3 linked regions of the Xenopus tropicalis genome follow. The protein of the gene in region 2 interacts with the protein of the main gene of each other region in a pairwise test. Links are inferred from orthologs where the notes say so. Each region holds a gene or a part of one and is shown on either strand. Other genes may lie near its edges.

Evidence for each region.
Region 1: the proteins of fbf1 (region 2) and tubgcp4 interact in a two-hybrid assay, tested with the Homo sapiens proteins (2 studies listed by BioGRID and IntAct). The two-hybrid records come from large-scale screens. The link is inferred for Xenopus tropicalis from reciprocal best matches to the Homo sapiens genes FBF1 and TUBGCP4.
Region 3: the proteins of fbf1 (region 2) and cinp interact in binary tests that used the Homo sapiens proteins (3 or more experiments, as listed by UniProt). The two-hybrid records come from large-scale screens. The link is inferred for Xenopus tropicalis from reciprocal best matches to the Homo sapiens genes FBF1 and CINP.

Annotation. Positions count from the first base shown.
Region 1 is NC_030679.2:107,048,381-107,058,756, reverse strand, and holds the end of tubgcp4 (gamma-tubulin complex component 4), read right to left. Parts: intron 10,246-10,376; coding exon 10,080-10,245; intron 9,745-10,079; coding exon 9,620-9,744; intron 7,953-9,619; coding exon 7,902-7,952; intron 7,505-7,901; coding exon 7,399-7,504; intron 6,582-7,398; coding exon 6,474-6,581; intron 6,221-6,473; coding exon 6,082-6,220; intron 5,628-6,081; coding exon 5,450-5,627; intron 4,784-5,449; coding exon 4,649-4,783; intron 4,531-4,648; coding exon 4,414-4,530; intron 3,582-4,413; coding exon 3,442-3,581; intron 2,434-3,441; coding exon 2,421-2,433; 3' UTR 1,787-2,420; downstream 1-1,786. UniProt on the Homo sapiens protein: Component of the gamma-tubulin ring complex (gTuRC) which mediates microtubule nucleation.
Region 2 is NC_030686.2:44,886,082-44,896,507, reverse strand, and holds part of fbf1 (fas-binding factor 1), read left to right. Parts: intron 1-968; coding exon 969-1,102; intron 1,103-1,233; coding exon 1,234-1,333; intron 1,334-1,591; coding exon 1,592-1,993; intron 1,994-2,594; coding exon 2,595-2,684; intron 2,685-3,051; coding exon 3,052-3,110; intron 3,111-3,301; coding exon 3,302-3,345; intron 3,346-3,908; coding exon 3,909-4,019; intron 4,020-4,140; coding exon 4,141-4,241; intron 4,242-4,452; coding exon 4,453-4,659; intron 4,660-4,743; coding exon 4,744-4,851; intron 4,852-5,029; coding exon 5,030-5,169; intron 5,170-5,284; coding exon 5,285-5,403; intron 5,404-5,497; coding exon 5,498-5,620; intron 5,621-6,967; coding exon 6,968-7,153; intron 7,154-8,039; coding exon 8,040-8,216; intron 8,217-8,360; coding exon 8,361-8,498; intron 8,499-8,646; coding exon 8,647-8,782; intron 8,783-9,982; coding exon 9,983-10,077; intron 10,078-10,426. UniProt on the Homo sapiens protein: Keratin-binding protein required for epithelial cell polarization. Involved in apical junction complex (AJC) assembly via its interaction with PARD3. Required for ciliogenesis.
Region 3 is NC_030684.2:97,541,161-97,552,106, reverse strand, and holds the start of cinp (cyclin-dependent kinase 2-interacting protein), read left to right. Parts: upstream 1-5,197; 5' UTR 5,198-5,301; coding exon 5,302-5,323; intron 5,324-10,946. Other genes in the region: tecpr2 (tectonin beta-propeller repeat-containing protein 2), read right to left, coding at 229-357, 679-894. UniProt on the Homo sapiens protein: Component of the DNA replication complex, which interacts with two kinases, CDK2 and CDC7, thereby providing a functional and physical link between CDK2 and CDC7 during firing of the origins of replication.

The sequences.
Region 1 (10,376 bases), on a different chromosome or scaffold from region 2:
CAACCCAGCTGCAGCACAGAAGCTACTGAGACCAAGCTAAAATGGCAGCTGCTATCTTAAACAAACAGAAGAAGCTTCTATGGCTGTTAACTCAGGTATGGTAAAGCTTTCTGCATAATAAATATAGCGTCCTAGCTTGCACTATTGTAACTAATCTGTTGGCAATAAATTGCTAAAATGCCTTTCCTTCTCCTTTGATGATTTTATATGGATGTGGAAAGAAGTTTGTTTCACAGGTACTGAGGGATCACTTTCCAACCCCCTGAAAAGCTGAATGAGACAGCGCCACTTACTGGGGGCTTTTCAGCCATAACTCTTATGTGCCATAGCCAACCCATCTTGCACTTGAATGTTCATGAAGGGTTTTCACTCAATTATATTGCCAGTTACTGGTCTTCAAAGGCTTCTAAACTATAGTCATTTCTGTCAATGCAGGTAACAAATAAAATTGGCTGTACATCCCCTTTATCCAGCTCTATTCCCATTGGTCTGCAGATGGTATGTCAGGATAATCCAGTTTGCTTCTTGGTAGATGTTTAAAGGGACAGATCATCCATAAATTTAAGTTTTAGTAAAACATATATTGGGAAAATCTGGGTATGTGGGTTTACCCCTCACTACCAGGTTGGGGTTAACCCACATACTTCAAGGGGGGAGAGTTATCAACTAAAAAAAACTTGGTTCAAAAACTTGAATGTCTGGTATTTATTAAGTGCAAAAAACTTGAATGTAAATATTTGCCATTCAAGACTAAAAGCTTGCAAGTTTCTATAGAAGTTAATGGGAGTTCCTAGGCAAAGTCAAGCCATATTTTCAAACTCAAATTTGTAAACTCAAATAGTGAGCATTTGATATGTGAGTTTATTTAATTTAGAAAAATAAACTGGAATTCACAAAATCAAAAATGAATAAATAAGCTTACAAATGTTATGCTTTGTCACCCTCTATAAGGGAATGCGCTTATTTGTCAGTCTCTACTGATTGGGCAAGTGGGCAGTGTCGCCCTGTCATTCCAGGACTACTTTTTTTACGCTACATGAACATACAGGAAAGACCAGTTCATTTTTAGCTGCAATATATTCCTGTGTGGGCAGGCTGCTACTTTATACAGTGGATTATATTTGTGAATACAACTGCACCTAAGACATTTGCCCTACTGATCATGAATTCCGAGTGATCCTTTTACAATGAACAGTATTTGGCATTTTCTATATGAACCCTAAATGATTGTGGCATGATTTTCCTTATTCCTTTAAAGTTTCTGTGCGTTAGTCTATTCTCCCTCACCCATGCTCACTTCCTTTGTTTCTGTATGGGCTGTCCCATCTGGCTGCAGCATGAAGGAATGGGGTGTCCTGGGAATCAGCTGTCTTGTGCACAATCCTTTGCCTGTCCATGTAAGGGGAACAGAGGAGAAAACTTATCTGACCCTTCCCCCATCTCCATTTGTGCATGCGCAGAACTCTGATCTGCCTGTTACATGCAATGGCATTTGGACAGAAAATGCATACTTGTGTGATTCTGGTCAAAATCTACTCCATGTGCGCAATGACTGGGGGATTACAGTCCTGTGTGTACACAAATGGTGATTGGGGGCCCCAAATTTGAGTTCTGCCAGCAGAGAAAAGCCCATGTGTTTCACTACTTTATTTCTGCTAAGCCTGGTTGTGAGCGCTACTCAGGCGAGTGCCAGGAGTTGCAACCACACAGAAAGCCATCACCAGTAACCCTCTTGTGCACAGATATGACAGCTGAATCCCAGAATAAAATAGAGGAGGAGCAACAGTTAGGGAAGAAGAGGCTTTTATTGCATACAAGGAAATGATAAGAATTTATTCCCAATTATTTTTTTTACAGTTTTTTCATTTGTTTAAAAAAAAAAAAAAAAAAAAAATACTGCCCCTTTCATGGGCATTAAAGGAGAAGTTAAACTATAAGGGGTGAACAAAATCCCAGATTTGGTTTGTGATCTTGAACTCCAAATTCCCATTTTTGAGTAAAAAAATGTTCACTTATTTTTATACTATTAAAACACGTCAATGTATCTATACATGGGTTCAACTCATATACTCTTGGAATGGTGATACAGAATATTTGCAATTCCTGTGGTTACAAGGTCTGCAGGTTGGACATCCACTGACACACATTCTAGTTTAAAGAAGGAAAAAAACTCCCAAAACATTAAGTGCAATATAATGGGGAAGGGCCAATGAATAAGCTGTGAATGTTCTTTTCAGGCCATTTCCACCCACTTGTGTTGTGCATGTTTATATCATCCCTCACCACTGTAAATATGAGAGAATTTGCTCCACCTGTGTTGTACTGAAATAAAGCAAATACTGCGAAATCTTGGTGTCTGTCTTCACTGGATCAGAGTGCTGGGATTAAAGATCACTGTTGCTGGCCTTGTAATGTTATCTTCATAAGCCAAAACTGTAGGGGGAAAATACATTCCTCTTCTGAGATGGGGTAATATGCTGAGTAGTTATACAAAAACCACCAACAACCATTTACATCTGTAAAAGCTTAAACAGGCAATCCCTTTAGATTGTATGTATGTAATACAAAAATCAATTTAAAGGGATTGCCTATTGTTTTAGACCTTCACAGAAGCAAACTGTTTTTCATTAATGACTGATTCCTGCATACAACATGCACCCACCCACATTAGTCTAATAAGAAAGGCAATGCACCTGCAAAGCTTAAATACAAAAGAAAAGCATGATTCCTGCCCAGACAGTACCTGCATTTTCTTAATCTAACACAAGGTGGCAGCAATAGATCATTAGGAATCTGCCCCCAGTGTGCAATACTGAACAGTACTGTACTGTATAGAATTCTGAGTAACTTTCCAATAAATTCATTAAAAAATGTCAGATTTTAAAGTAAATGTAATTGCTATTGATAGCAGAATTGTCTTCCCTACCCTATGCTACTAAAGCAGCAAGCTGATTAACTGACCTGTATAGAAGCTCAGCTAGAGGACAGCTGACTGCTTCCGCTGGTTCAAGAGTCAGAGCCAGCAGTGCAGAGGGGGGCTGAAAATACTGCTTATAGCAATTAAAAATAACTTTGAGCTAATTGTTCAGAACATAACATGAAGGTACAGTAATGGACATCCTTGCCACTATATTTAATTCCATCAGGATCCCATACACCTTGGCATATCCCTCTATAAATATATGGTCCAAATGAAAGATGTGTTAATGAGAGGTGCATGCCCATACCTAAAGGTGTGTGTCTGCATAAGAAATGAGCACATATACAGTCATACTCATCACAGCAAATGATATTTGCCAAAAGATCTGATTAGCCAAAGGACATTTCTTGTATGTTTCTAACTTATCAAGGAACATTGTCTCAACAACTTAAAATTATATGGGACAAAGCTCCTTTGCATTGGGTCAATGTCTTGCAATTATCTACATGCAAAATTCGTACCTTCCAAGTGTGCCTCCTGCTTGGGTATAATATTTATTGTAGTCTAATCTGAGCAGGAGCTGGGCCAGGTCTGGGTTGATCTGATGATTCCTCACACTGGAGAGAATTCTGAATAGAAGTGATGACTGACAACTAAATCCCTGTAAACAGATACAAAGAAGAAATAAATCCAAACCAGGGCTCCTTTATCCTTATAGAAACAAGGTGAATGCACAATTATGGAATTTATTATCCACAAAACTCTTAAATACCTTCCAGTTTGTGCCTGTATGTTACCCAACCACTTAGATTGTAAGCTCTATGGGGTAGGGACCTCCTTCCTACTGTGTCTCATACCACATGGCACTTATATATATATATATATATATATATATATATATATATATATATATACACGTATATGTATTTATTGTATTTATTTATTATAACACTTGTCCTCCCTGTGTGTAATTTTGTATTCTGTAAGACTGTACAGCGCTGCGTACCCTTGTGGCGCTTTATAAATAAAGTTATACATACATACATACATTCAGTGCCATTTCCTAGAGTATCCTATTCAAACAAACAATCCTTTTTTAATTTCTAAACAAAGATAAAATCAAAGGAAACTGTAGTTGTACTGATAACACAGCTACATCAATGTATGTTGGTGGCATCTTTAGTAGCCATTGGCTACTGCCCCGCTCTATGCTTGCCTCGGCCTACCCTTGTGACAGCACCTGGAGCCACTGCCTCAGCCTGGGGGCAGGTTTAGGTTTATGGAGCGAGTTTTATCTCCACAATGGATACTTGCGAATTTTGGGCCAAAATCCGCTCCTTGTGCTTGCGCTTGGGCCTGCACAGGGTGAGAATTAGCCTGGTGTGGCAGTAGCCATTATGATCCAAAATACAGAAATATCCCTTATCTGGAAAACCACAGGTCCCAAGCATTCTGGATAATAGATGCCATACCTGTATAAAGGCCATACCTACCTTCACAAGAATATCTAGCTGCCCAGCTCCGCGTTCATCCAGGGGGCCCAGGTTTTGGCTGACTAATGAACAAAAACTGTGACACAAATCTAAGATTTCATTTAAACAGTGGAAAACCTGGGGGGAAGGAAGGGCAAGAGATTTATATCGGCAATAAATGACAGCTTTCTGATTTAGTAAATGTGCTCACTGTAGCCCTGCAGTAAGTACCTTCCTGCATCATTTGTACACTTACTGGTTTGAGCAAAATGAAAGACTGTGCCAACAGATTACTTAGGAAGTGGTCATGCGCCAGGCGAATGCTCTCAAAATCCCGCGTTGAGTTAATTTGTTGCAAGAGTTGAGAGAACTGAGACTCCAAAACATCCACCTAAGAAATGAACATACAAACATGGCAATGCCATATGCATTTATCAGTGATGCACACTTCTGGGCAAGGGGCGAAGAGACAATGTACAAACAACTGATTCTGACTTTTGAAACAATGTAGCAGAAGTCAGATGAATAACACACCTGGTGCAGAGCTGAAATCTGCATTGTTTCACCAGAACCAGAGAACAAGCTGTTGTTTTCAACTGATCTTACATTTACAAATACCTTCTAAACCCCTGAACATTAATGTGTGTCAGACACTTGCTTAGAACTACATTTCCTTTCATTATGCAAAAAACATTTTGACAGATTCTGAAAACTCGGAGCAAAAAGCCTCAGAAAATGTCACTGGTGTCACTGGTGCTGAGGCTTTATCCAACAATGAAAGCAGCTGTCTCATCATTCTTATCACTTAAAGCAACAATCACATAGTGCAGATCCATAGATTTCCTAGGTCACAGTTTTGACTGAAGGAGTGTATGGCAAGAGAATACAGATGGGACCTAGCTGCCATGTTCCCAGGCTACTGCCTCAGCAAGTACAGCAGCCTCCGAAGTAGAAAAGTATAGAAATAACATTGCATATAAATATATATGCAGTACATTAGCTGAAAATGAAAAAGCTCATAGCACAAGCATATGTGAGCAATGTGGCGCATCCTCACCTGCAGGTAATACTGGAGATTATCAACCAGAAACGCCATGTGGTTACGTAACCGCCACTTGATAGCATCGGTTTTATTAGACTCCAAATGTTTTCTCTGCATCTGAAGAGCCCAGCAGTGCTGAAGTTCTGACTGCACACGGCGCACACTCAGCAAATACTTGAAGACCACATTGTACCTAACAGAGGGTACAGGTATGGGGATTGGTTATCTGGAAACCCGTTATCCAGAAAGTTCCGAATTACGGAAAGGCCATTTCCCATAGACTCCATTATAAGCAAATATTTCTTTAAAATGTTTTCTTTTTCTCTGTAATAATAAAACTGTACCTTGTATTTAATCCCCACTAAGATATAATTAATCCTTATTGGAGGCAAAACACTCCTATTGGGTTTATTTAATGTTTGAATAGTTTTTCAGTAGACTTAAGGTATGGAGATCCAAATTACGGAAAGACCCCTTATCCAAAAAACCCGAGCCCGAACCTTATCCGGACCTGAGCATTGCGGATAACAGGTCCCATACCTGTATAATGTTTACACTCAGCAGTTTCAATAAACACACGATATCTAATACATAAGTTATATAAATATGCACCAGTGCAAATGACAATTAGATGCAGCTCTACTCACTTCTCCAGCACTGCCGGTGTAAAGAGAATATGCAAGGGCCATTGCACTTTATAGGAGAGTCCAAGTGCAGCCCATCCAGATATTGGAGGTTCTCTGGGAGATGTGTCACGAGATGGACCTTCCCGGGGCTGGGACATATCTAGAGGGAAGAGAAATGATCTTAGCACAAACCTCGGGTAAAACTGTTCTCTGTAAGCAGCAGCAGCAGCAGCAGCAGCAACTTCAGTCACCATGGCTTACAGGGCCTTAATGTTTCTATGGCTTGGCACACTGTTTTCAGGCCATGGTACATTTCGAAGTATGTTAACAGATTATTTTGTCAAATCCCAACTGATTTTCAATGATTTATGAAAACTATATCAGGTAAATGCAGAGTTCAGAGACAGCCCTACCTTTATGTTCTTTTCCATGGTAATCGATTGTCAGATTTAGCAGCGGCAGGAGATTGTCATCATCAAGTAAAACTTTATGTGCAGATAACTGGAAGGCTACATTTATATCTGTTGGAAAGAAAGGGCAAGTAATGCGTTCAAGGCAAGATCAATACGTGCTGCTAATAATCCACGTATAGGCAGTGCTTGGAACTTGGGCTTTTCCATATAAGAGATCTCTGCATAATTGTCATCACCATACCTTAAGTCTGCTAAAAATTATTCTATAATAATAAAAATATGGATTCATGCACCATAGTTACCCTCAGGTACAAGGTACTGTACTGTGAAAAAAAGAGGAGATCGTTTATAAAAATTAGAATTATTTGCTTAAAATGTACTCTGTGGGATATGGCCTATTCATAATTTGGAGCTTTCTGGATAACGGGTTTGTGGATAAGGCATCCCATACTTGTATTACATCATCTGGTACAATCAAACTCTTTAATAAGAATGTATCCCATAAATTACAGATTTGTCATTGCTTTTTTTGTAAGAATCTTTTTTTGTTGCTAAGCAGATTAGCTGTGTGTCCCAATGTGCACTGTCATTGGTCTAATCAGGAAGCATGGCTAATCTTCCCAGTGTCAGATAAAAATGGTGGTTGTGTGGGTAAGGGATCCACTGAAACATTTTTAAAAAGGCAATATGAAGTTTTTGCAACAGGAGCTCAGGCGCACCTAGCCTAAAACTTGGCTGCGGAACAGTATGTGTACCAATGCAGGTGTGCTTAAAATAATATAAATAAAAGCTTTTAATTATGGTTAAGCCAATGTATTGAGTACAAGTGACTATATACCAGGCAGTAAATAGCTCTTGCTAAATAACAAGCTCCCAGCATCTCTGGCTATGGTTGAAGACACTAATATACTGTGGAAGCACTCACCATGTTCAGTTACTGCAGTAGGTGGAGTTTTCAGCATATTTTGGGCAATATCTATGAAGGCCTGAAACAATTCTCCTCTCCCCAGTAAATAGAAATCTTTAATAATCTGAAAAGAGAAATTTCAGTGTTAGTGAAAGGCTAATAAGATAAATTTGCAAACTGTTCTTGCCAACAGTAAACTTAGCACATTATATTTGGCACTGAAAAAGCGTATATATGAGACTGAATGGCTAAAACATGTGCTACCTGATGGCCAGGGATTATAAACAAAACATAAGTATTAGGGATTTGAATATCAGAAGAATAAGATGGGGATTGGGCGCATTGGGTGCAAGCTGCAGCTGGGAGCCCAGGAGCTATCATTTGCCTTCAAACAGTAATAAGTACAAGGCTCCAGTGGCTCTGAAACTGACCAAGCCCACAGCTGCATATATAGCATTATATGAGAGGGCAATGGAAGGCGAGTAGAGCAGGGAAAGGTCAATGTTATTGTCAGTCCTTACCTTGAGCTGACCCAGTAGGTCCGATTCCTCCACCATAAGCTTCCACAAGTGCTAGAAGTATAGGCAAAATAATTGCGCTTTATTAGTATTTCTCAAAAAAAGCTTCAACAAAGATTATCAATATAAAAGTAAAAGAAAAAAGGATGTATTGTGGCTCCTTAAGCCATTCCAGTACCACAGTGTGATGTTTTTGTAAGGTATGCAATTGCAGGCTAAGGCCATATAGTTCTGGTATATCTGTCTCTGCATTAACATCAAAGCCAGTAAAAACCTCTGTTCTTGTGCAGGAAGGAGTGGTTTTCTCCAGAAACTGTGGTTAAAAATAGATCTTCATTTTTGTAATTTTTTAGTAGGGTTTAATGACAGCATTTAACATCTGCCTGTGCTACTATTTTATGCATTTAAAACTGTACTGACCATCTCTGCAGTACCTTGTACACTGAACACAGCAATACATATTCTTTATTTTTGTATAAAATATTATTAGTGGTATATCCTGCTAAATCTGTAAGCAGTCCTTCTGACAGGGAATACCTCCTTCCCCCAACAAGAACTAAGAATTATTATATTATATGTATCACCACTGACTTCACGTCTTAGCCACAGCAGAAGATACATGTGGAAAAATCCACTTGTGGGTATGAGCTCTTATTGGTTTGGCAATGACTGCCTCCTAACAGACACTGAGAGTCTGAGAAGGACCTTCAGGATGTCTGTAGATTGAGCTCTGAGCTGAAAGGAGTAGTGAGGAGATGTGTTTCCATCTATCCCTAGACTATATAAATAATCACAGATGGGGGCGCTGTAACTCTACCTTAGAAGTTTGGTACTTCTATTGAGGAGACACACGACTCACTGAAGCTCATGAGCAAAAAGCAGATATAACTTGTTTAAAATACATCATATAGCTGTTTGGAGGCAAAATCATGGAGTCTCTGGCAAATGATCAATGGTCACTATTTTATAAACCACACACAATTTGTCTGTTAAATATACCATAATCTGCTTTCTAGGTCACACACATGAAATTTCTTAGTTTAGCTTGTCACTAAAGTTATCCTGTATTTCCTCTCCAATGCCTGACTCAGCACCGCCCCGCCATTCACTTTAAGCTTGCATGTCACACTAATAGTAATATTCTTCATTAATACAGTGCCAGCATATTATATAACACTCTCCCATTATCCCAGTGGCCCTTGGAATATAAGATCCAGGTACAAACGCACTAGGTCTCATTTCTTCAGGAACTAACTGCCTAGCAGCTCCCATTTAAAGTACATTTTAGTGTTTTACCTTAAGATAACCGGAAGGTAACTCCCTATTTATAAGTCAGGACATTAAATGTTTAAATAATTGTGAATATTTACTATGATAAATCACCAGTCTCTTAAATCTATTGTAGTTTAGGTCCTCTCTGTGTGGGGAAACTTCCTTATACAAAGCAAAAAAAAAAAAAAGGCTGCAAAGGGGTCCAGTGATACAGTACTCATACAAACCCTCATTCACAAGGCAGGGGGCAGAGAATAACTAACTATGAAGGATGCTTGGGCTGCAAATGAGGGAGACAAGTGTTTCATCAGTTTAACAGAGTTACTGTACATCAAGCCAGAGGATGGCCTGAATTCCAGGCAATGGCAATGATCTATCTCTACAGGGTAATTCTGCTACTGAACACATTTACTGTGCTGATGTTACCCTAACATTTGGCAGAGGCTCACCTCGGCTACCGTGCTTCTGATTCGGTCAAGAACAGATTCAAAATCCACCAAACTGAAGAGAGGCTGCTGCTTCAGCCGATGGAGCTCTGCTGCAAATGTGTCTTCCTGGTTTTTTAAGATGGAACCTGTTGAGAACAGCTTTGGATGAATAGAGAAATGAGCAAGCGACCTGGAAATATTTAGTCTTGCATAAATGTTATATCTGTACACTACCAGCACTAGCATGTACATTTGCCCTGTAATGACTTACGTAACACATAACTGGCTCCTTTACAACTTTCATCCAAGGACTAGTTACATATATATATGTGCGATGTGCTATATAGGTTCTATGCTGCAAACTAGAAAGGGACATCTTGCTTGCCAAACTGGGAGATTTTATTTCCTAGGCCTATAGAAAAGACAGCTGAACACAATTTAAGGAAATAAAAACAGCCAGGCTCCGTATTGTCTCTCTTACCTGTCCTAGACATATTTGCATTTTGATTCTCAAACATCTGAACAGATTCACCCACAAACAGTATCTTCTCTGCAACCCTCACTGGAATATAGGATGGCAGCATTTCCGCCCTCAGTGAAAACTGTTTGAGGGATGGGGCCAACATGTTCTCTTCCTCTATGAGACGCTGCCAAAAGCAAACAGCATACATAGTAAAGTACAGCTTCTTATGGAGGCAGAATACATATAAAGGGATTTCTTTACTTACCGTAAAATCCTTTTCTCTCTAGTCCTATGGGGGACACAGGGCCTCCCTCC
Region 2 (10,426 bases):
ATATATATATATGTCTTAATGTCCTATATATATTGATAATGGGTGAGTGCAGAGGATCTCTTGTTGTTGTCTATATGTATTTTGTGGTCACAACCTCATTGCACCCCCGCCTAATGGTTTAAAATTTAGTGGTTGAGCACAACTTTCCCCTTTTTTGCTATAGTTTATACAGGAGCAGTGGCCAGCTCCTTGTTGTAGCTCCCACCCTTCCCAGCTACAGTCAGGTGATCCCAATGGGCCAATAAAAGGGCAACCATATGGGGGTTTTAACCTTGAAACCAAGTAAGTTGCAGGTAAAACTTAGTCCCTTGGCTAAACATATATTGAAGCAGTAGAATTCTTGGTGAATCGCATAGGTCAGTGTAGGACTGGCCAGAAGGGATGACTTTGACGTAGTTGGCCAGCTTGAAGTATATTGCAATGTATGGACAAACAATCCCTGTTTTGTTTAAAGGGGAGGGCATTTCTTAGTAGCTGAAATGCACCAAATGTCTTAATGTCCTATATATATTGATAAAGGGTGAGTGCAGAGGATCTCTTGTTGTTGTCTATATATATATATATATATATATATATATATATATAAAGCTTGGTGCATTTTACGGTACATGTATGTGTCTGCCATTCCTGTGCAGTTATATGTATTATAGATATTAGTTGGTTTAGCAATTGGGTCGGTTTATCAATTGATGCCCCATATCTTCCAATGTATGGTGCACCTTCAAATGAGTAAGTTGCGGCTTTTCTGTCAATTTGGCCTACAGGATGATCAGATTGATAGCTTATGGGCTCGGCCTGTGTATAGGCTGCTATAAGAAGGGAAGTAACACACTAAATTGTCTTCCTTCCCTTTAGGGCAATATTAATAGAATAAATCCTGCTTATTATGTAAAAGGCTATTCAATTTTTAGGTGAATAACTGCCATGTACTCAAGCTGCCTGTTCTATGTGATCTTGCTTTTCCCTAGCTCTGCCCCGCCTCCTGCGCGTTCCAAGCTGGATGAGCTCCTTGGTAGAGGGACTGCAGCCAAACTTCTGGAAAGACCACCCACTGGGGAGCGAAAAGAATTTAAACTTGATCCTAAATACCAGAAACAGCAAGGTGAGTGTAGGGTGTCAAAACTTCCTAAAACTTTTTTAAAGTTAGTTCTAAGTTACAGTTCAGAAGGGCCACAGAAAGTAATGACTAGAGTCAAAGTGCAAACTGATAACCGGGTCTCCTTCCTTCGCTAGAGAACCAGAACACACCAGACGATGCGGATATTAACTTTGGTTCGTACCAACCTACTGTCAACAGTCCTGAGGGGCGACCGTCTCGCAGGCCATCTGTCAGGTATCACGCTAGTTCAGTTATTTCTTTTCCTAGTCAGCTGTGGCTTGGAAAGGACAGGGGTTTGTTTATCAAGAGGGCTTGTAATTCCTAATTATATTTCCTAATTAAAAAAAAAAGGCAAAAATTAGGTTCAGCACAAGGTCTATTCATTCACTGCTACTAAATAAGGGGGTGTTCTACCCCTTTAATGTCTCCAGCATGTGAGTGTCCAAGTGGACTGCACCACTTTTTTTTAATATCATCCTTTCAATCAAACAGATTCTCTGCAGATGGCAGCGACAATTTCAAATCGGAAGGAAGGTCTCGCTCCAGCACCCCAGCAACTAGGAGTCCAGCCAGAGGAGAGAGGGGTGGGGCGGACTGGCTGGGCTTGAAAGACGATGACATTGATGTTCCTGATTTTACACCTTCATTACCTGTCAGGGACCCACCCCGGTCTGCAGGTGTTACACCAAGTTCAGCCGGACGTCCCACCTCTGGAAATAAAATTGCGGACAAGCCTATTAACCAAACGAGAAGTGGGCTCCAGGAAGCAGCCTCGGTAGCACAGGAGGATGATGGGTGGCTGACCTCTGCCCTTTCACAAAAAAAGGCACAAAAACAGGAAATGGAGGAAAAAAGCAAAAGCCAAGCCAGACAGGAAGATGTTACAGGGAGCAGGTAAGAGCAGTGGTGGCTTATGGACGATTATTGCATGTATAGGAAACATTCTGCTGCTAGAGAGAGAGACAGCTGTTTATAGGCAGATACGTGTGGGACAACAAGGGGTTATGGAGAAGGAGCAGAAAGGCTTGGGCCGATAAATTATATGATAATGTGATATAAATGGAAGCAAGTATTTATGGTCTATAAAATTAGCCATACATGCCCAGATCTGGCCAGGCACTTTGGCAAATTTCAACCTTCTGGGCATGTATGACCAGTCCCGGAGGCATTTAGACTGATTATCCAACAATCCTTTTGGATCAAAGATGATCGGTCCTGATAAAAAGTCTATCAGCCAGACAGGAAAAAGAGAAGGGCTGTAATTCTACCGTTCCTCTTCATTTCTTGCTCTTCTGATCTTTCAGGTGGTCTGCTTGTACTAATGGAACAGTACAAAGGCAGCCATACACCCTAATACAGTATCTGTCTGTAGGTGGACTGGTCTGATATATTCCTGGTTGGCCCATCAATGGCCACCTCTAGGGCCATTCTTCCATGTGAATGTAATATTTTCCATGTGTATGTATCACATATTCATTGCACCTCTTCTTTCCAGCCCTGCAGTCTTCTCACAAACCAGCTCACAGGAGTCCGCTGTTAATAAAGGCACAAGAGAGACTGGTATGGTAGTTGCTGAGGTATCTGGGTAAGTATATATATATATATATATATATATAGTAGATAGCAGAGTGACGGCACTCACAGGATTTTATGCATCAAAAATAACAAAATAATAGTATTCAAATAGTGAGGTTTATTGATCCTACGTTTCGGTTCCCCACTGGAACCTTCGTCAGGCCTGCATGACGAGCATGTCACTTTACAGCAATAGGCTGAGACGCCCTTTAGCCACTAGCTGTCACTCACTGTAACAGTGCAGTAATACACAACCAAACATGGATCACGTTGTGTCATGACTCTTTACTAAAAAAGGTTAAACTTGTGGGGATTGGAAAACATTTTTACTGAATATGCTGACATGCTCTGACAGGTCCTGGTTTATGTCCTTACAGGTCTCCCAAAAAAGTCTCTACGTTTGTGGCTCCCAAACAAGAAGAAACCATTCAGACAGGTGATTATTTCCCAAACAACTCATTTTGTCCAGGATCAAAATTTTATAGCAGAACAGACAAATCTTTGGCCATCACCATAGCTGCTGAGAGTTGCTGTTCTGCATCAGTGGGTTTGTCTGACGTTGCAAATCCCTATTTTATTGTATTATTTATTCATTTCTGACATCATATTGGTTTCTCTTTATTACAGCAGTTACCGGCCCGTCTCAAGAGCACGGCACAGCCAGAACTTTGGTTAGTTATCATAAATGAAACTCTCCAGTCCTGCTCACGTCATTGTACGCTCAGCTGGGAATTGTATAGGGAAGGCTGTATCCTTCCTCCTCCATAAAGGAGTGTAAACTACAGAACGTACCTGTCCTACTCAGGCATCCCTGCTATCTGCACTGATACACATTATTCTCCTGCTCCTGTATTTCTTGGTTTGGGACTGAACCATTTAACTGTTTAGCTGAGGTAGTAGAGCCCAGTTAGACAACTTGCACACAGTGAGTTATTTACAGTTTGGGAATGTAATAATAGTACTGCTTTGGTATAAGAACTGCCTCGATGGGATAGAAATATTACTTCACTTGCAAAGGGACGTATTGCATGATAGCTTCTTAATCATAAATAGAATGAAACTGGTTTGTGCGAGGCAAAATAAGCAATGCAGTGTATCAGTATCAGTTTTAAAAAAACAACATTTATCCTGCCACATCAGTACTGTCTCTATGTTATATCTATGTTTTTGTTATTCCCCACAGCCCTATTGTACTTAATTTTAGCTGCTGTTTACACTCCCATTGCTTTCTCAGCAGCAGACGGTGGTCTCGCGGCCATTAGAGAGAAAAGCACGAGATGGGGATAGAGATCTTCACGGGGATCCCCTGCAGGCACAGAATCGAGTGATGGATCTAGAGGCACAGGTACTAGAGTAGGAGACTACAGAGATGAGTCGATTTCTTTATACCTCCATACATGGGATTGTCCCTAGAACTCACTGCATAATATTCCAGTGGTAAACCAAGCTAACCATATCTCCTTCAGGTCAGGAAGCTCCAGCTAGAGAGGGACCAACAGAACCTGCTGCTGGAGACCCTGCGAGAAAGACATCAGGAGGATATGGAGCTGATAGAGAATGCACATCGGTACCGCAACCCATTTAACTTACAAACCCAGTTGCCCGTTACCCAGATTCCATAAATATAGAAATAGATACTTATAAAGCTACAGTGTGTATGTAGGGATAAATAAATCCCAATATCCCATGTATATACACATTGGCACCCAGTGCCTAGTTCTTCCCTACGCAGAAGTAGGTTATATTTTATGTCACGCATTTAATTGCTTCCTACTCAGGAGCCGCCTGAAACTAGTGGAAGACTCTGCCCGTCAAAGAGAGGAGCGACTGCGCCTTGAGAACCAGGAGTTGTCCGCCCAGTACCTATCTCGGTGCCAGAGCACGGAAACCGAGAAAGCCGAACTGCTGGCGCAGTATCAGAAGAAACTGACTGAATTCCAGCAGGAGAAGGAGCTGGAACTGGAGAGAATTCGGGAACTGCAGAGGTGAGGTTGGAGTTGAGCTGCCTCCCAGTGCGCTCCCTGTCTCTTCCGGGCAGTCGTATACATGGTTATCTCTCCCTTTTGCAGGGTGTTTGTCCAGGAGATGTGCAGAGACCATGAGGAGCAGCTGCAGAGACTCAAGCGGCTAAAGGACCAAGAGATCGATGCAGTGACGAGTGCTTCCTCCCACACAAGGTATAACTATAACTCACCTGCTATAACAAACTGTTAGTAGTGCCATACCCATAACAGAGTTGGCAGGAGGTGGTAGTCTTCTTAGTGCTTTTGACTGCTTTCCTGCTTGTTTCTTTTCCTGGGAACTAATAACTTTCTGCTTTTCACCGACGCTTCCTACGACTCTGCGCCTCTTCAGATCCCTGAACACCGTTATTGAACAAATGGAGTCGTTCTCCCACAAGCTGAGTGACCTGTCCCACAGAGTAGAGAGCACTCAGCAGACAACTTCCCATGAGCTGGAGACAGGAGCACGCCAGAGAGAAGGGCAGCTCAGAGGTACGGGCACACTATGCTGAACAGCTGTATGTGCTGATATGGTGCTTCCCAAGGGAACACATGGTAGGGCATTGGTACATTTATATAGCACCTTATGAATGCCATCTTCATCCAGCACTGCAGGAGCAACTGAGCCGCCAGCAGAAAGACATGGAGCAAGAACGAAACAGTCTCCGTATGGTGATAACCAACATGGAGACACGGTTAATTGAGCAAAGCCGTCTCCTAGAACAGGTGAGAACGAACCAATGAACCCCACCTTTGAGTTTAAGCTGGAAGTTCCACTGAAGGAGAAACTAACGAGTATTATTGGCCCTTCTTGCAACAGGAACGATGGCGGGTCACCTCAGAACAAGCCAAGGTGGAGTCATTGCAGCGCTCACTGGAGGAGCAGAGGAGGGTCGTGACACAGCAAATGGCAATAGAAAGAGAGGAGCTGGAAAGGGCAAAGGTTAGTGGACTCCTGACCAGCCTGAAGGTTTGAACGATGAAGAACGTCCTGCCGAGAACTTTGTTCTTCCACTGCTCTTTGTTATCCCGTCAGAGCGGTCTGTTGAGAATACTATGGCTTACATGGGAAGACATGCATATATACAGAGTTATTTGATTGGCTTAGGTTGAAAGCCACACGTGGGCTTCATATTCCCAGCAGACTACATGGATTGATTTCATTCAGGACCTGTTTAAGACAAGTTTTGAGTGTGAGGGTGAAAATAAGATGCAGTTTACATGTCAACATTCTCTTTAAAGGAGAAAGAAAGGTAAAAACTCAGTAAGCTTTATCAGAAAGGTCTATGTAAATACAGCCATAAGCACTCACTGAAACGCTGCACTGAGTCCTCTGTCAAAAGATTTATTGTGTCTGTAATTCCTCTGCCAGAGACACGCAGCTTTCTGCTCCCTCCCCTCTCCTGCTCCCCCTTCCCTCAAAAATGCTAAGAACTCACTCCCCCCCTTAGGAATGTGGATCTGAGCCAATCAGCAGGAAGCTTCTTCATAGTCTTACTAACTGAGCATGTACACCGGTCCTGCTGTTGGTGCAGGAGTGAGGCATTATGGGAACTTTCTTTACACAGCTCAGCGCTTTTTCTTCCTGTTTGGCTTCAGATCATCTGAACGGGAGAAATATGGGGAGACTTAAGGGCACTATTGAGACAACTGAAGGTATGCCTGCAGCTTGAGATTAACTCTTTATTAGCCTTTCCTTCTCCTTTAAAGGAAAAGGAAAGGTAAAATCAAAAGCCTAACATTTTTGTACCCCCCAGTGATTGTACCTTTCCTTCTCCTTTAATACAATACTTGTGTAACAGGGCTCGCGGCTCCCTGCAGGCTGTGCCTTATGGCCTTTGACTAGTGCCCTGTTTCTTAACCTTGAGCCCCCCCGAAGCTGCTGGACTTCATCCAGCCAGGACTAGTAAGTTGCTACTCAGGTTAAATCCCCCTGATAAAATGCTTTTTATCAACCAGTATTGGACTCATTTGCTGACAAAGTCCAGCCGACTGTATAAACTAATCAGCCATCACTTGGCATATATATAATATAGCCTTTCCATTAACTGTACACCGTAAACTCCATGTACCCTATAAATGCCAGCAAGATAGGGTGTTTGCGGGATTATTATAAATGATTTAGGAGATGTATGGTATAGCCACAGTCTGTTTATATATCCCTGCCAGTGAGACACACGCACGGCAGTTGGAGGCATAACTACATTGTCTGTTGCCAGGCTACCGTAATATATCTTTATAGGAGTCCAAGTTGGAATTTACTATCGACAAGTTTTTCCTTCACTTGCAGAGCGCTCTCCTGGAGGAACAGCAGTCTGTCATGTCTCGGTGCACAGAAGAGCGTCGAAAGCTGGCGGCAGAATGGTCCGATTTTCATACCCAGCAAAAACTGAGCAAGGAGCGAGCAGAGAAAGAAGCAAACAGGGTCATTGTGGCAGAAACTCAGAGGGAGGGCGCCATCATAAATCTGGCCAAGGTACATGTGATCTCAGTGATCCCCAATCAGTGGCTCTGGGGCAACATGTTGCTCCCCAACCCCTTGGATGTTGCTCTCAGTGCCCCCAAACCAGGGACTAATTTTTGAATTTCTGACTTGGGGGCAAGTTTTGGTTGAATAAAAATAAGATTTATTACCAAATAAAGGTCCCCATACACGCGGCTGATAGTAGCTGCCGATATGGGTCCCATAGACATATTCGGCAGCTAATCGGCCTGTGTCTAGGCACTACCATCGGGCCTGCCCGACCGATATCTGGCCTGAAATCGGGCAGATCTCGATCGGGCAGGTTAAAAAATCTAGTCGGATCGGGGACCGCATCGGCTCATTGATGTGGTCCCTGGACTAACTTTTCCTATACCCGTCATTATAATTCGATCAAATTAGCCTGGATTCTCCCGATATCGCCCACCCATAGGTGGGGATATCAGGAGAAGATCCGCTCGCTTGGCGACATCTCCAAGCGAGTGGATATGAAGGTGTATGGGAACCTTAGAGCGCCTGTAAGCTGATAGGGTGCATAGAGGCTGCCTAATAGCCAATCACAGCCCTTATTTGGCTCCTCCATGAACTTTTATGGTGCTTGTGTTGTTCCCCAAGTCTTTTTACATTTGACTGTGGCTCACGAGTAAGAAAGGTTGGGGGGCCTTGCTGTAACGGGACAGACTCCATGTTAGTTCCGCCAAGACCTGTTTAGAGTGATATGACCTCTATTCTTACCAGTGCCTGAAAAGTATTCTAATATCTACAACTGCCCCTTTGCTCTGAACTCTTGCTCTCCACACCCAAGCTTCTCTCTCTGCTCTTTTGCCCTCCCCCCATGTTTCCTTTCATATAAACCTCTCTACTGCTATGCTTCCCCCAGGAGCAGGCAGAGTTAAAGATCAAGGCTAGTGAGCTGCTCAACAAAGAGGAGCAGCTGTTTTTGGCCAGAGAGGCCATGGAAAAGGAAAGACAAGACCTCCGCCTGGAAAAGGAAAGGGTTAATGCATCTGCTCTGCGGGTGCGACAGCGTGCGGAGGAAATAGAGAGCATGAGCAAGGTAATATATTCCCACTCACATGTTTCCATTCTAGTCCTTCCATTACCCGGTTTTCACTAACCAAATGCTAATGCAAGGGTAACACTGACATCTTGTGGTAGATTGGTGCATAGCAGTTTAAAGAACAAGACTTTATTTTCCCAGTTGGCATCACAACGTTATGAGGAGGGAGAGAAAGCTCTAGAAGAGGCATGCAAGATAGAATCCGAGCACCAGGGCCGTTTAAGGGCAATTCAGCAGAAACTGGAAATTCTGCGACAACAGGAGGAACATATACATCAGGTGAGGAGCCTCTGTGGCAAATCAGGTTCAGTTACAAGGGAGGGGAACATACAGCGACCCCAAGAACGTCTGGGTTTTTAATAAGTTGTCAGGGGCGTAACTTCCGCAAAGTAAATGCATTTTTAACCAGAACTACTCTGTTCCACAGGAACGTCTGAGTCTGGCACAGCAGAGACGCCAGTTAAACCAACTTCAGCAAGAGCTTCCCACTGCCAGTGTTCTATTCCCTGCCAGACCCCCAGAGCCCCCCCTGATGGCACAGAATGGGAAGTTCACTGCAAAAGGTACAGTATTTTCTGTGGCCATAGTAATTGGTGGCTTCTGTGCCAGCGAAGTCTGTATAATTATTGTATATATATATAATATAAACACAAACAATCACTTATCTTTAACATAACCTGCTGAGTGCAGTGCTAGTTACTACTACTGAGTGATACTCCCTGTATAACTCAGCCTTGTGCCTTTATATGGGCACAGAACCCCTCAGTGACTGCTAATATCCTTATCATTTACAGTAGGGGGTACATTATCCCTTATAATACATGAGTGATACTCAGAGTTCCCTGTATAACTCAGCCTGCAGCCTTGTGCCTTTATATGGGCACAGAGCCCCTCAGTGACTGCTAATATCCTTATCATTTACAGTAGGGGGTACATTATCCCTTATAATACATGAGTGATACTCAGAGTTCCCTGTATAACTCAGCCAGCAGCCTGTGCCTTTATATGGGGGGCACAGAACCCCCTCAGTGACTGCTAATATCCTTATCATTTACAGTAGGGGGTACATTATCCCTTATAATACATGAGTGATACTCAGAGTTCCCTGTATAACTCAGCCTGCAGCCTTGTGCCTTTATATGGGCACAGAACCCCTCAGTGACTGCTAATATCCTTATCATTTACAGTAGGGGGTACATTTTCCCTTATAATACATGAGTGATACTCAGAGTTCCCTGTATAACTCAGCCTGCAGCCTTGTGCCTTTATATGGGCACAGAACCCCTCAGTGACTGCTAATATCCTTATCATTTACAGTAGGGGGTACATTATCCCTTATAATACACGAGTGATACTCAGAGTTCCCTGTATAACTCAGCCTGCAGCCTTGTGCCTTTATATGGGGGGCACAGAACCCCTCAGTGACTGCTAATATCCTTATCATTTACAGTAGGGGGTACATTATCCCTTATAATACATGAGTGATACTCAGAGTTCCCTGTATAACTCAGCCTGCAGCCTTGTGCCTTTATATGGGCACAGAACCCCTCAGTGACTGCTAATATCCTTATCATTTACAGTAGGGGGTACATTATCCCTTATAATACATGAGTGATACTCAGAGTTCCCTATATAACTCAGCCTGCAGCCTTGATATGGAACTCCTTTATAATATCCTTATACCTTACTAAAGGGGGAATAGTATTTCCTGTATATCTGTATTGTGCTGTACCTGTGCTTTATTAATCATTATTTCCTTCCAGCTATTGGGATCCCAGCAGCGCTGCAGGAAACCAGCAAACCACAAGTAACAGAGTTCCATGCCAAATTGGCTCTGCTCAAGATGTCTGCCCAGCAGGTAAGAATAGTGAAATGGCAGATATGTTGCACTGCTATACCTCATCATTAGTTCTCATTAATTATATTAAAGCAGGTGTAGATCTGCATTAAAGGCATAACCCAGAGCAGTGGGTTAGACATTACCTTTTCTTGTCTAACTGATTAAACAAATGCCTTCTTGTTGCCCAATGGGCACTGTGGGCTAGTGATAGCAATGGATGGAGCAGAGACTCCCTCTAGTGGATAAAGCTTGTATTAAGAAATTCATCACTTATTTTGTATGGCACAACTTGGCGTTAAGGTACTCATAGATATCTATTCTTGTACAAAAAAGGCTCCCACAGAGGGGACAGGTTGTCGTGTAGGGA
Region 3 (10,946 bases), on a different chromosome or scaffold from region 2:
CACCTCCAATCTGGAAGCTGAAAAGATTAAGGTAAATAATGAAACACTATTAAAAAAAGACAAACTAAAAAAATTGCTAAGAAAACAACATTAGTTGGATTTATCAGAGAACCAGAGGGGCTTGTATAAATTCTGCCACAATTTTTCTCATATGGTAAATGTTTTATATACTGCATGTGTAACAGTTTCAAGGGGCTTGGAAATTTAATTTCACAAAATAACACTGACCTGCTTGTTTCTCCCAGGCAAAGGAGACACTAGTTGGAAAACTGCCACTCTTCCAGATACAGTGCCCACAGCAACCAGGTCATCAAAACAGCTGAGAAGCTTCACCACAGATATAGATTCCGTCTTGCCCTGGCAATACAAACATTTTTGCTAACAATAATATTGTTTGCTGCTAAGGGACCATGACATTGAGTTAATTTAAACAAAATTACCCTAAAGTAGTGTACTACCAGCTGTTTCTAGGAACTTATGAACTACACAAGGCAACAAAATAAATATCTAGAGATTAATTTATTAAAATGGCAGTAAAAACAACACAAGGAATATAAAGCAGATATAAATAAAAAAAACTAGTAGAATACATTTTCAGTACAAGACTTATTTCATAATGATAAGCAAAAGTGTTCATCTGACGTGCTGCATATCGATGAAGCAGTACCGACACATTACCTCCAAGCTGTATTTTTTCATCTGGCTTGTGTGTCTGCAGTACAGATACAGCATTCCAATGCTGCTGCCCACGGCAATGAAATCACTGTTGGCATCAAGGGCAGTTAGGTAAACCAGGATAGAACGGAATCCTTTCTGCACCTTTGCAGGAATAGCATTCAGAATGGAATACAATGGGCAGAACTCTTTGAAAGTCCCAACTCGTTGTGCAGCCATTTTTATCTGGTAAGTAACTTCCACCTCCAACCCTCACATTGCTGCCAAGGTAGAACTGAAATATGAGCAAGATATAAAAAAAAAAAAAGATTAAACCACTACAGATCCCAGCTAATTCATAGGAAGACAAAACAAAAACATCTTAAGCTGTATCTAATACTTCAGAAACATTATTTCAGTAAATAGAAGTGTCACACTGAATGTGACACAAACATTCAGTAGATCTGTAAGGTTGTAGGCTCTATGGGGCAGGAATATCCTTCGTCTTATCTTTACATTAAGCCAACTTGAATGTAAAGGTGGCCATATATACTGTGCGAAGTTGGACGAAGTCGCCAAACAAGCGAACCATCTCTCAATATGCCCATTGGGCCAAATGATCAAATTAAAATGGCAGGTATATGGGTGGTCGGATCAAGGACCACACCAACGAGCTCAATTTTAGGCCAGATACTGGTCGGATAGGCCCATCAGGGGTGCCCATACAAATCGGTCTGAAGGACACAAATCGGCTGCTGAAATGTGCCTGAGTATGGCCACCTTAAGTTGTCTTTGTAACTATTTTATTGACCTTGTTTGTTCTGTTAATATTTAGATCCAATTCTCTGACGAAAAAATGCAAACCAAATAAAACACTTACTTACAAAGGGCCTAAAGTTGACCTTAAATTGAATGATATAGCCATGAACAGAATTACCAAACCATTTAAACAGTAGTAGATCTGGGCAGCTGATGGCTTCCCCTGAAGTACAAAAAAGATCAATGGACAACCTACAACCTACATCCTGCAAGTCAAAAATGTGAAAAGAGCAATCTCACTATTGGTTATTCACGTGTGACCAAAAAGCACATGATCCTGTTTTATGTGTGACCATACAGCACAAAATCTTGTTCAGCTAGCATGTGGTCTGTATAACCCTTCCAAATAAAGGATCTGCGACTCTACAGATGTGTCTTTAGTTAGAAAAAGATAATAGCACAGGGACTTTTAGGGCTCTGGCACACGGGGAGATTAGTCACCCGCGACAAATCTCCCTTGTCACGGGCGACTAATCTCCTCGAACTACCATCCCACCGGCGAAAATGTAAGTCGCCGGTGGGATGGCAAATCGCCTGCGCAGCGTGTGCTATCCCACCGGCGAGCCCTTAAGCAGTGTGCTGCCCTCCAAATTAAAATGCATTTCCCTACAAGCACTCCTGTTTCATTCTGGAGAGTGAGAAATGTGTGTGCTGTGCTACGGTGCACTGTATTGTCGCTGAGGGATATCAAAAGAATTGGTAAAGTCAGCATTTCAGAGCTCGGAGACATGCTACGTGGCATTCATCACAATGAGAAGCAGCTGCCAACACAGAATGTGTTCTGTATAGGACTGCTGTGAGCAAGTGGAAAGAATAACATACACTGACACAATTATCAGGAAATACACTTAGTGCAACTGATCAGTTGTGTACTTGTTCAGCACAAAAGTGAATCCACCAGTCTATAACCATCATCAACTTTTCTGGACCGTATACAAATCTCTATTTAGAGGACTAAACCCCTACAAATAAGAGGTAGCTCAATCCCTGCTCTAAAGCAATAAAAGGAAATCAATTCCCTTGCCAGTACCACTTTTTCTGCACTTGTTGGACAATGTCCTGGGTGCTAGCTCAGTCCCAGCTACAAAGGAGTCATTCAAAAGAAGCGTTCACTAAATCAGATTTTAATCTAAAGACTTTTTTGCATATTACAAGAAAATGGGATTTTCAGTTCCTTTCCAGGTTGCTTCTGCAACATTGTTTTAGGAACTAGAAGTACAGGTATGGGACCTTATCCGGAAACCCATTATCCAGAAAGCTCCGAATTACGGAACGGCTGTCTCCCATAGACTCCATTTTAATCAAATATTTGCACATCACTTTCGTACAACTGTTGTATGGCAATTATTATTGTCAGAACATCCTCTGATTTGTTATTTTTAGGACTCCCAAAATTTCAAGCTGAATGTTAGTTTTAAATCGTTGTATTAAAACATACGATCGACATGCGAATGTTCATCGAAAAGAAGACTAAAATTTTAACTTGTATGGCCAACTTTACTGCTGGCAGCTTTTATATGTTTTTATCATTACAGGAAATTGTTCTTTATTTATAAAGCACCAATATATTCTGCAGTGCTGTGCTTTTGTATTGCCTTATAGAACAGTTTAAATTCCCTAACCAGCTGATAAGACAGCACAGAAAATATACTATAATAATGATTTAAACACTGGTGGAACATTTCATGAGGGAGGCAGCATGATTGTATAGGTTATTACCCCTATGCAGGTGAAAATTCTCAAAATAACCCTTTGGTGCAACATGCACACTAAATAAACTGCAGGAAACAAGTGGAAAGAAACATTCCTTTGGCTTGAAAATAAATCATACCTTAGTTACAAAATAGGCAGCTCTAGGACTGCTACTACAGCCAGCCTATTCATTTTGGAACAGGTGCCACTTCTTCAGACGATAGGGGTGAAGCGCTGTAAGCAATATAGAAGAGGTTATTACTTAACTAAGATGTTTTACACAATTGCAACATGCAAACACAAACATTTATCATGAAGAATTAAATCTTTTTTTAATAATTAAATTAATACATAATGCTTTAAGGTCTAACTATGTGTTTAAATAAGAGCAAAAACCTAAGTAGAAATCTGAAGACAAAAGTAACGCTCTAGTGCCCGAGGGTCATATAGCAAGGCTTGTTGTTCGTGGAAGAATATCCAGAACAGAGGATTTTTTTGTGAAAGATCTACAGATAGTGCACCTGTAAGGCGGATGCAGCCCACTGGCCACCAGATGGACAGCCCTGCCTAAACCTAATGTTTAATCACAGTCATAAGTCATATAATGACTGCCTTTCTTCTGGTAGAACTTTGTAACACTAGGTTTTCTTATTGGAAGCTACTATTACTTTTAGAAAGTCAGCAACTGGCTCAAGAGAACCGTCTTCCTGAACAGCCTAAGCAATAAACCAATACCTTTTAATACGTCATTGCCAAAAGTAGACTGCTAGTACTAACCCCAGATATGTGGGGTTTTGCCCCTTGAAAGAGGGCAAGCCTACAGTAACTGAAACTCTGTGCAATTAAGTGATATAGCTGCCTAACAACAAATTAAAAGGCATTGTAATGTATTATTATCATGTGTTTATAAAGTGCCAACATATTCTAAAGCACTGCACAAGGAATGGGTGTATATATTAAACAAATAGATTTTTCAACAAAATCAACCAATACAAGAGGTAAAAAGGGCCCTGTTCAGTGTTGCCTTTTCTACTGCTTGAAAGAAGCCCACAACATGCTACCTTACAGCTTGATAACTAAAAATATAATTTGTGTATATAAAGTCTTTAAAGCATAAAAGACAGGCTAGCACCTAATTTCCTTATGGAACATTAAGGAACCACATTTGTCAAATATCCTTAGGGACAGCTGTGATTGTAAAGATGTTAAAAATTCTCTTGATGAGATGTATCAAAAGATGATAGATAGATAGATAGATAGATAGATAGATAGATAGATAGATACTCTTACAAGAAGAGAAGTATGAATGAAATCACCCAGATGTACATTACGCAGCTTTCTGGAAAAAGTAAGGATGCTTCTTAAAGATAAAAAGGACAAAATATACCATCAAAACAAAATATGTACACTAAATGCAGATAAAAGTGTTCAGTAACATTGGAGCGTGCTAATCAAGATCAGTGTGTGTCATGTGCATAAATAAATATATATACAAAACATGTCTAGTCTAGGGCCATCCAGCGCTAATGACAGTGCAGGAGGGCAGCAGATGGCACATGTTATGTACTTTATGGTTAGATCTAAAGGCAGGGAGTGTGTGATGAAAGCTGCTAGATTCTTTTTGCTATGAGTGCATATATTTGCTTAATAACAGTAGATGATACACACATTAAGCACAGTGCTGATGGCACAGCAGATGAGCAACAGCTGGCAAGCCTCAGCTCAGTAGCACTAAGAGAAGCTATGCCAAATATGTACAATATAGTGAATAATAAACGTTAAGCAATGCTGTTTTATATAAGCCTTCTCCTGCCCCCTCTAAAGTATTTGGGGGCTTCTTCATCCACACTCACCTGTTTCTCGAGTGTTAGTCACGGCTTTGAAAACCCTTTCGCATCCAGGAACCTGACGCAGCTAAAACATACTCCCCACTCTCTATAATCACAACACTGTACAGACACCACTTAGGTACCGCCCACATTAGCATGAATCGGTCCTTCCGTTCTAGTCCGGAAAGCGGAAATTGTTGTGTGCGTTCCACTGCGTTCCACTGCGTTGCACATGGGAACCGAGAGCAAGGAGAGAGGGCATGCATAGTAGAGTGAGATAGAATGTAACAGATTACCGTGCTACTGAATGTATGCTGATACAATGGAAAGTAAGTTGCTTTGGAAGTTTGGTAAAACTGCAGACTTTTGCCAATTCAGGTTGCAGAGTGACTATTACGGGCGTGAGTGGAACATCGAATCTAGACGTTTTAAAAAAGGAAGGTTTCTTTCGGGGCAGGTATAGCTGAAGGGTGACTGCCAAATAGCACCCACGTTTGTATAATATAAGTGGTTGTAATAGTAATGGGCTACTGTGGGTGACTTTTTGTAGAATTTTGAATTTAGAATGTAATATAAATAAGCCATTGTCCATTTGCTATGATTTTTAAGGGCATTGTCCCTTACCTATGCCTTACTGTGTCCAATGATGTCTTCTGAACTGGTCCACTAGGGAAGAGGGGATATCTGGAGGGCCTGACTTTTGTTTACCCTATATCAGCGTTTTTCAACCACTGTTCGAGATGTTGCCTGGTGTGCCGTAGGCAGGGCACCAATGTACTAGGGGGGCACTGCTCTTGGCACCAATGTACTAGGGGGGCACTGCTCTTGGCACCAATGTACTAGGGGGCACTGCTGCTGGGCACCAATGTACTAGGGGGGCACTGCTCTTGGCACCAATGTACTAGGGGGGCACTGCTGCTGGGCACCAATGTACTAGGGGGGCACTGCTCTTGGCACCAATGTACTAGGGGGGCACTGCTCTTGGCACCAATGTACTAGGGGGCACTGCTGCTGGGCACCAATGTACTAGGGGGGCACTGCTCTTGGCACCAATGTACTAGGGGGGCACTGCTGCTGGGCACCAATGTACTAGGGGGGCACTGCTCTTGGCACCAATGTACTAGGGGGGCACTGCTGCTGGGCACCAATGTACTAGGGGGGCACTGCTGCTGGGCACAGAGTTAAATTTTTTAACATTTTCTAATGGTGGTGTGCCTCGTGATTTTTTTCATGAAACAAGTGTGCCTTTGCCCAAAAAAGGTTGAAAAACACTGCCCTATATCATTAATACTTACAGACATCTATATTGTGGGGTCTGAGGATTTAATACTTAGTTCATAGCTTTCTAAAGAATTCTGAAATCCTCACTACCAGTGTGTATAAATAAACTTAGCAGGGCCAGTCATTACCCATCTGCTGGACCATAATGCTGCTTTGTGGATATGCAGAAAATTTACACACTGAAGGCTTCCCAGGTTTGTATTAACGTCACTTCCAGTTTTATCCACAACCTGATCCACTACACAGCAAAACAAAGATGCAGGTCTGGGCAGTTAAAATGTGCGTCTAATTGGACAGGATTGTACTACAGAGACCTTATCCGCACACCCTAGCGCTCCAAAATTATATGCCCGGTGCACACTGCTGGAGGGATCGGCACCCTCCAAAACCAGTACAACCACAAAAAAAGCAAATGGCACTCAGGGCTACAAACAAGGGAAAACCCTTAAAAAGTTTATTGCGGAGGTGCACCTCCGCAATAAACTTTTTAAGGGTTTTCCCTTGTTTGTAGCCCTGAGTGCCATTTGCTTTTTTTGTGGTTCTAATTGGACAGGGCCATAGAGGGCCATATCAAATGTATCAGTCCCAGTGATAGCTTGATCAGTGCATGAAATTAAAAATTATAATGTATTTTTGATTTGCCGCAATTCAAACAAGAGACGCAATACAAAAATCTGAATTTGCTCAAACCTATTCATTCAAATTTTGAGACAGACTGTGGTTGTGCCCATAGTTCAACTTTATTAGGGATTTAGTTTGCCTGAATTTTTCAGGCTGTTAGGATAAGGCAGTAAAACGATATTAGAAACCTATTACCTGTGAGAATATTCTGAAATTATTCAGTCACATTCACAATTAGTTCTAAAACAGCAAAGGGATTCTTTAGGTTAGATATGGTGTGCCTTTTGCTTTGGATTTCTGTACCACCTTAACACAGTGAAAGTTTTTGCCTTCTAGAATGCTTCCAGTTCTTCCTGTTTTGATTATATATATCACATGCACTTTACTGCTATCAGTTACTTGAGCTTAGGGTCTCAATTACAATATACAGTAAATACATTTACTTGATGAGACACGTTTGTAATTCATTCAAATTCACATCAGAGTTGTCCAACAACATGCAATCTTGTGAGAGGACAGTCAACACCAGTGCCAGATAGAAACCCTTAATGCAACCTAATTAAAATCTTTGTGTGCAATGATGCCCAAATAGACATTGTACAGTGCCAACCAACAATAAAATTAAAATATTCAATAGAGATATTATCATAATCCAGTATGGACGGTAGAGGATAATACTCGCCAAACTGGAGAGCCCCAATGTGAAATAAATATAGTTACATATTTTACAAAAAGCAATGATATTCAGTCTGTTCATTGAGGCCTTTAGGTGATACCTTATTCAGTCTGTATGTCCATCTGGCTTTGTGTTACAGAATTATTCTTTCTCTGTCATCATTCCACTTAGGTCTTGGAACATGTTCTAATATTTGAACTCTCAACTGAGATGAATTATGATTTTTTTTCTTTAAAGTGTCTAATGTGTCAAATAATATCCTTAATTTTATAATAATATTGACAATAGGTTTGGACACATGCTATATTATCTTTTACTTCTATCTTGATTTTGAAGCAATGATCCTCTGTCCAAATCCAATAATTTATTTTCTGCTTTCTATAGTATATTTCTTGGGTAGCCCCTGTCAATAAATATTTGTTTAATATCATTAATTGTTTCTGGTAACACTTCATGATTACTAATTATCCATTTAACCCTAGCCATTTGACTGAATGGAATAGAACGTACCTGAGCTTTTGGATGAAAACTCCTGGCTTGGAGAGAACTATTGGTCTCCAGTGTTTTTTGGTATAAGTCAGTTTGAATACTGGTTTCTATTTTCCGTCTCTTTACATCCAAAAACTCCATCTCTGTAGAGGAGGTATATTTGAATATATAATATATATATATATATATACAGGGTTGGATTAACAGCACAGGTGTGCTGTTAATCCAACCCTGTATATCTACACTTCCTGTACGGGCACCCAGGTATGATCTCTTTCTTATGGTGTGCAGCTTTCCAGCAACCTGCATCTATGTATATGTATGTATATATATATATATATATATATATGTATGTATATGTATGGCAGCTATCCAGGTAGTCTACAAAACTGTTCCTGTGAGCCAACACAGAGCATAAGACAATTGACTATGTAGCGCCACCACCAGTGTATAAATTCAGTGAAGGCACGTTGTACATAGAAGTGTTGATCTTCAAAGTAGTGATAGAAAAAATTGCTACAGGTTGTAGGATAGAATCAACTCCTGCCGTACCTTTGGTAAAATATATACACTGCTCAAAAAAATAAAGGGAACACTTAAACAACACAGTGTAACTCCAAGTCAATCACACTTCTGTGAAATCAAACTGTCCACTTAGGTAGCAACACTGATTGACAATCAATTTCACATGCTGTTGTGCAAATGGAATAGACAACAGGTGGAAATTATAGGCAATTAGTAAGACATCCCCAATAAAGGAGTGGTTCTGCAGTTGGTGACCAAAGATCACTTCTCAGTTCCTATGCTTTCTGGCTGATGTTTTGGTAACTTTTGAATGCTGGTGGTGCTTTTACTCTAGTGGTAGGATGAGACGGAGTCTACAACCCACACAAATGGCTCAGGTAGTGCAGCTCATCCAGGATGGCACATCAATGTGAGCTATGGCAAGGTTTGCTGTGTCAGTCAGCGTAGTGTCCAGAGCATGGAGGCGCTACCAGGAGACAGGCCAGTACATCAGTAGACGTGGAGGAGGCTGTAGGAGGGCAACAACCCAGCAGCAGGACTGCTACCTCCACCTTTGTGCAAGGAGGAACAGGAGGAGCACTGCCAGAGCCCTGCAAAATGACCTCCAGCGGGCCACAAATGTGCATGTGTCTGCTCAAACGGTCAGAAGCAGACTCCATGAGGGTGGAATGAGGGCCCGACGTCCACAGGTGGGGTTGTGCTTACAGCCCAACACCATGCAGGACGTTTGACATTTGCCAGAGAACACCAAGATTGGCAAATTCGCCACTGGCGCCCTTGTGCTCTTCACAGATGAAAGCAGGTTCACACTGAGCACATGTGACAGACGTGACAGTCTGGAGATGCTGTGGAGAACGTTCTGCTGCCTGCAACATCCTCCAGCATGACCGGTTTGGCAGTGGGTCAGTAATGGTGTGGGGTGGCATTTCTTTGGGGGCCCCACAGCCCTCCATGTGCTCGCCAGAGGTAGCCTGACTGCCATTAGGTACTGAGATGAGATCCTCAGACCCCTTGTGAGACCATATGCTGGTGCGGTTGGCCCTGGGTTCCTTCTAATGCAAGACAATGCTAGACCTCATATGGCTGGAGTGTGGCAGCAGTTCCTGCAAGACGAAGGGATTGATGCTATGGACTGGCCCAGCCCTTCCCCAGACCTGAATCCAATTGAGCACATCTGGGACATCATGTCTCGCTCCATCCACCAACACCACGTTGCACCACAGACTGTCCAGGAGTTGGTGGATGCTTTAGTCCAGGTCTGGGAGGAGATCCCTCAGGAGACCATCCGCCACCTAAGAAGCATGCCCAGGCATTGTAGGAAGGTCATTCAGGCACGTGGAGGCCACACACACTACTGAGCCTCATTTTGACTTGTTTTAAGGACATTACATCAAAGTTGGATCAGCCTGTAGTGTTTTTTTCCACTTTAATTTTGAGTGTAACTCCAAATCCATTGATGATTTCCATTGATAATTTGTGATTTTGTTGTCAGCACATTCAACTATGTAAAAAACAAAGTATTTAATAAGAATATTTCATTCATTCAGATCTAGGATGTGTTGTGTTCCCTTTATTTTTTTTGAGCAGTGTATATTACAGGTGTCACAGGGTACTCGTTAATCACCTGTCATTTGTACTTTACTCGAGGTACATAAAGACCTTGTATGTCTGTCGGGTGCATGCGGAAACATTTGAACATGGATTAACACAAACCTTTTTAAATCAATTAATGGTACATTCCCATGTAGAAACTGTGCTCAAAGTAATGGCATGATTAAAGCACATGGTGTGATGCATCCAAGTACAGGCAAGGCCATCCAAATCTCGGCCTACTACTCTTTGTTGTGTACTGTCTCAAATTCCCATGTGGCCTTGGCTATGTTGGCAAAACTATGCAGTGTGCCAAGGAAAGGACAGCAAAATACAAGACATTACATTGGATAAAAACAGCTCAGTGGCTAGACAGTTTAAAGAAAAAAATCACAACTCATCTCAGTTGAGGGATGGTAACAGAGAAAGAATACTTTTTTAGCAGATGGATATACAGACTGAATATCATGGTTTTTATAAAATATGTAACTAGAGGTGTTGTAGAAATACCTATCCACATTGGGGCTCTCCAGTTTATCCTCTGTCGTACCTTTTGAAATCGAAGTGAGGTGATCTCTTATTTTTAGAAACATGATATATATGAAATGTTTTCTTTTTTATGTAATTAGTTAGGCACATATGCTGTGCAGTTCCTTAAAAAGAATTTTTCCTATGTAAAAATTTAACACAAATTAAAAAATATACAGGTATAGGATCCGTTATCCGGAAACCCGTTATCCAGAAAGGCCATCTCCCATAGACTCCATTAT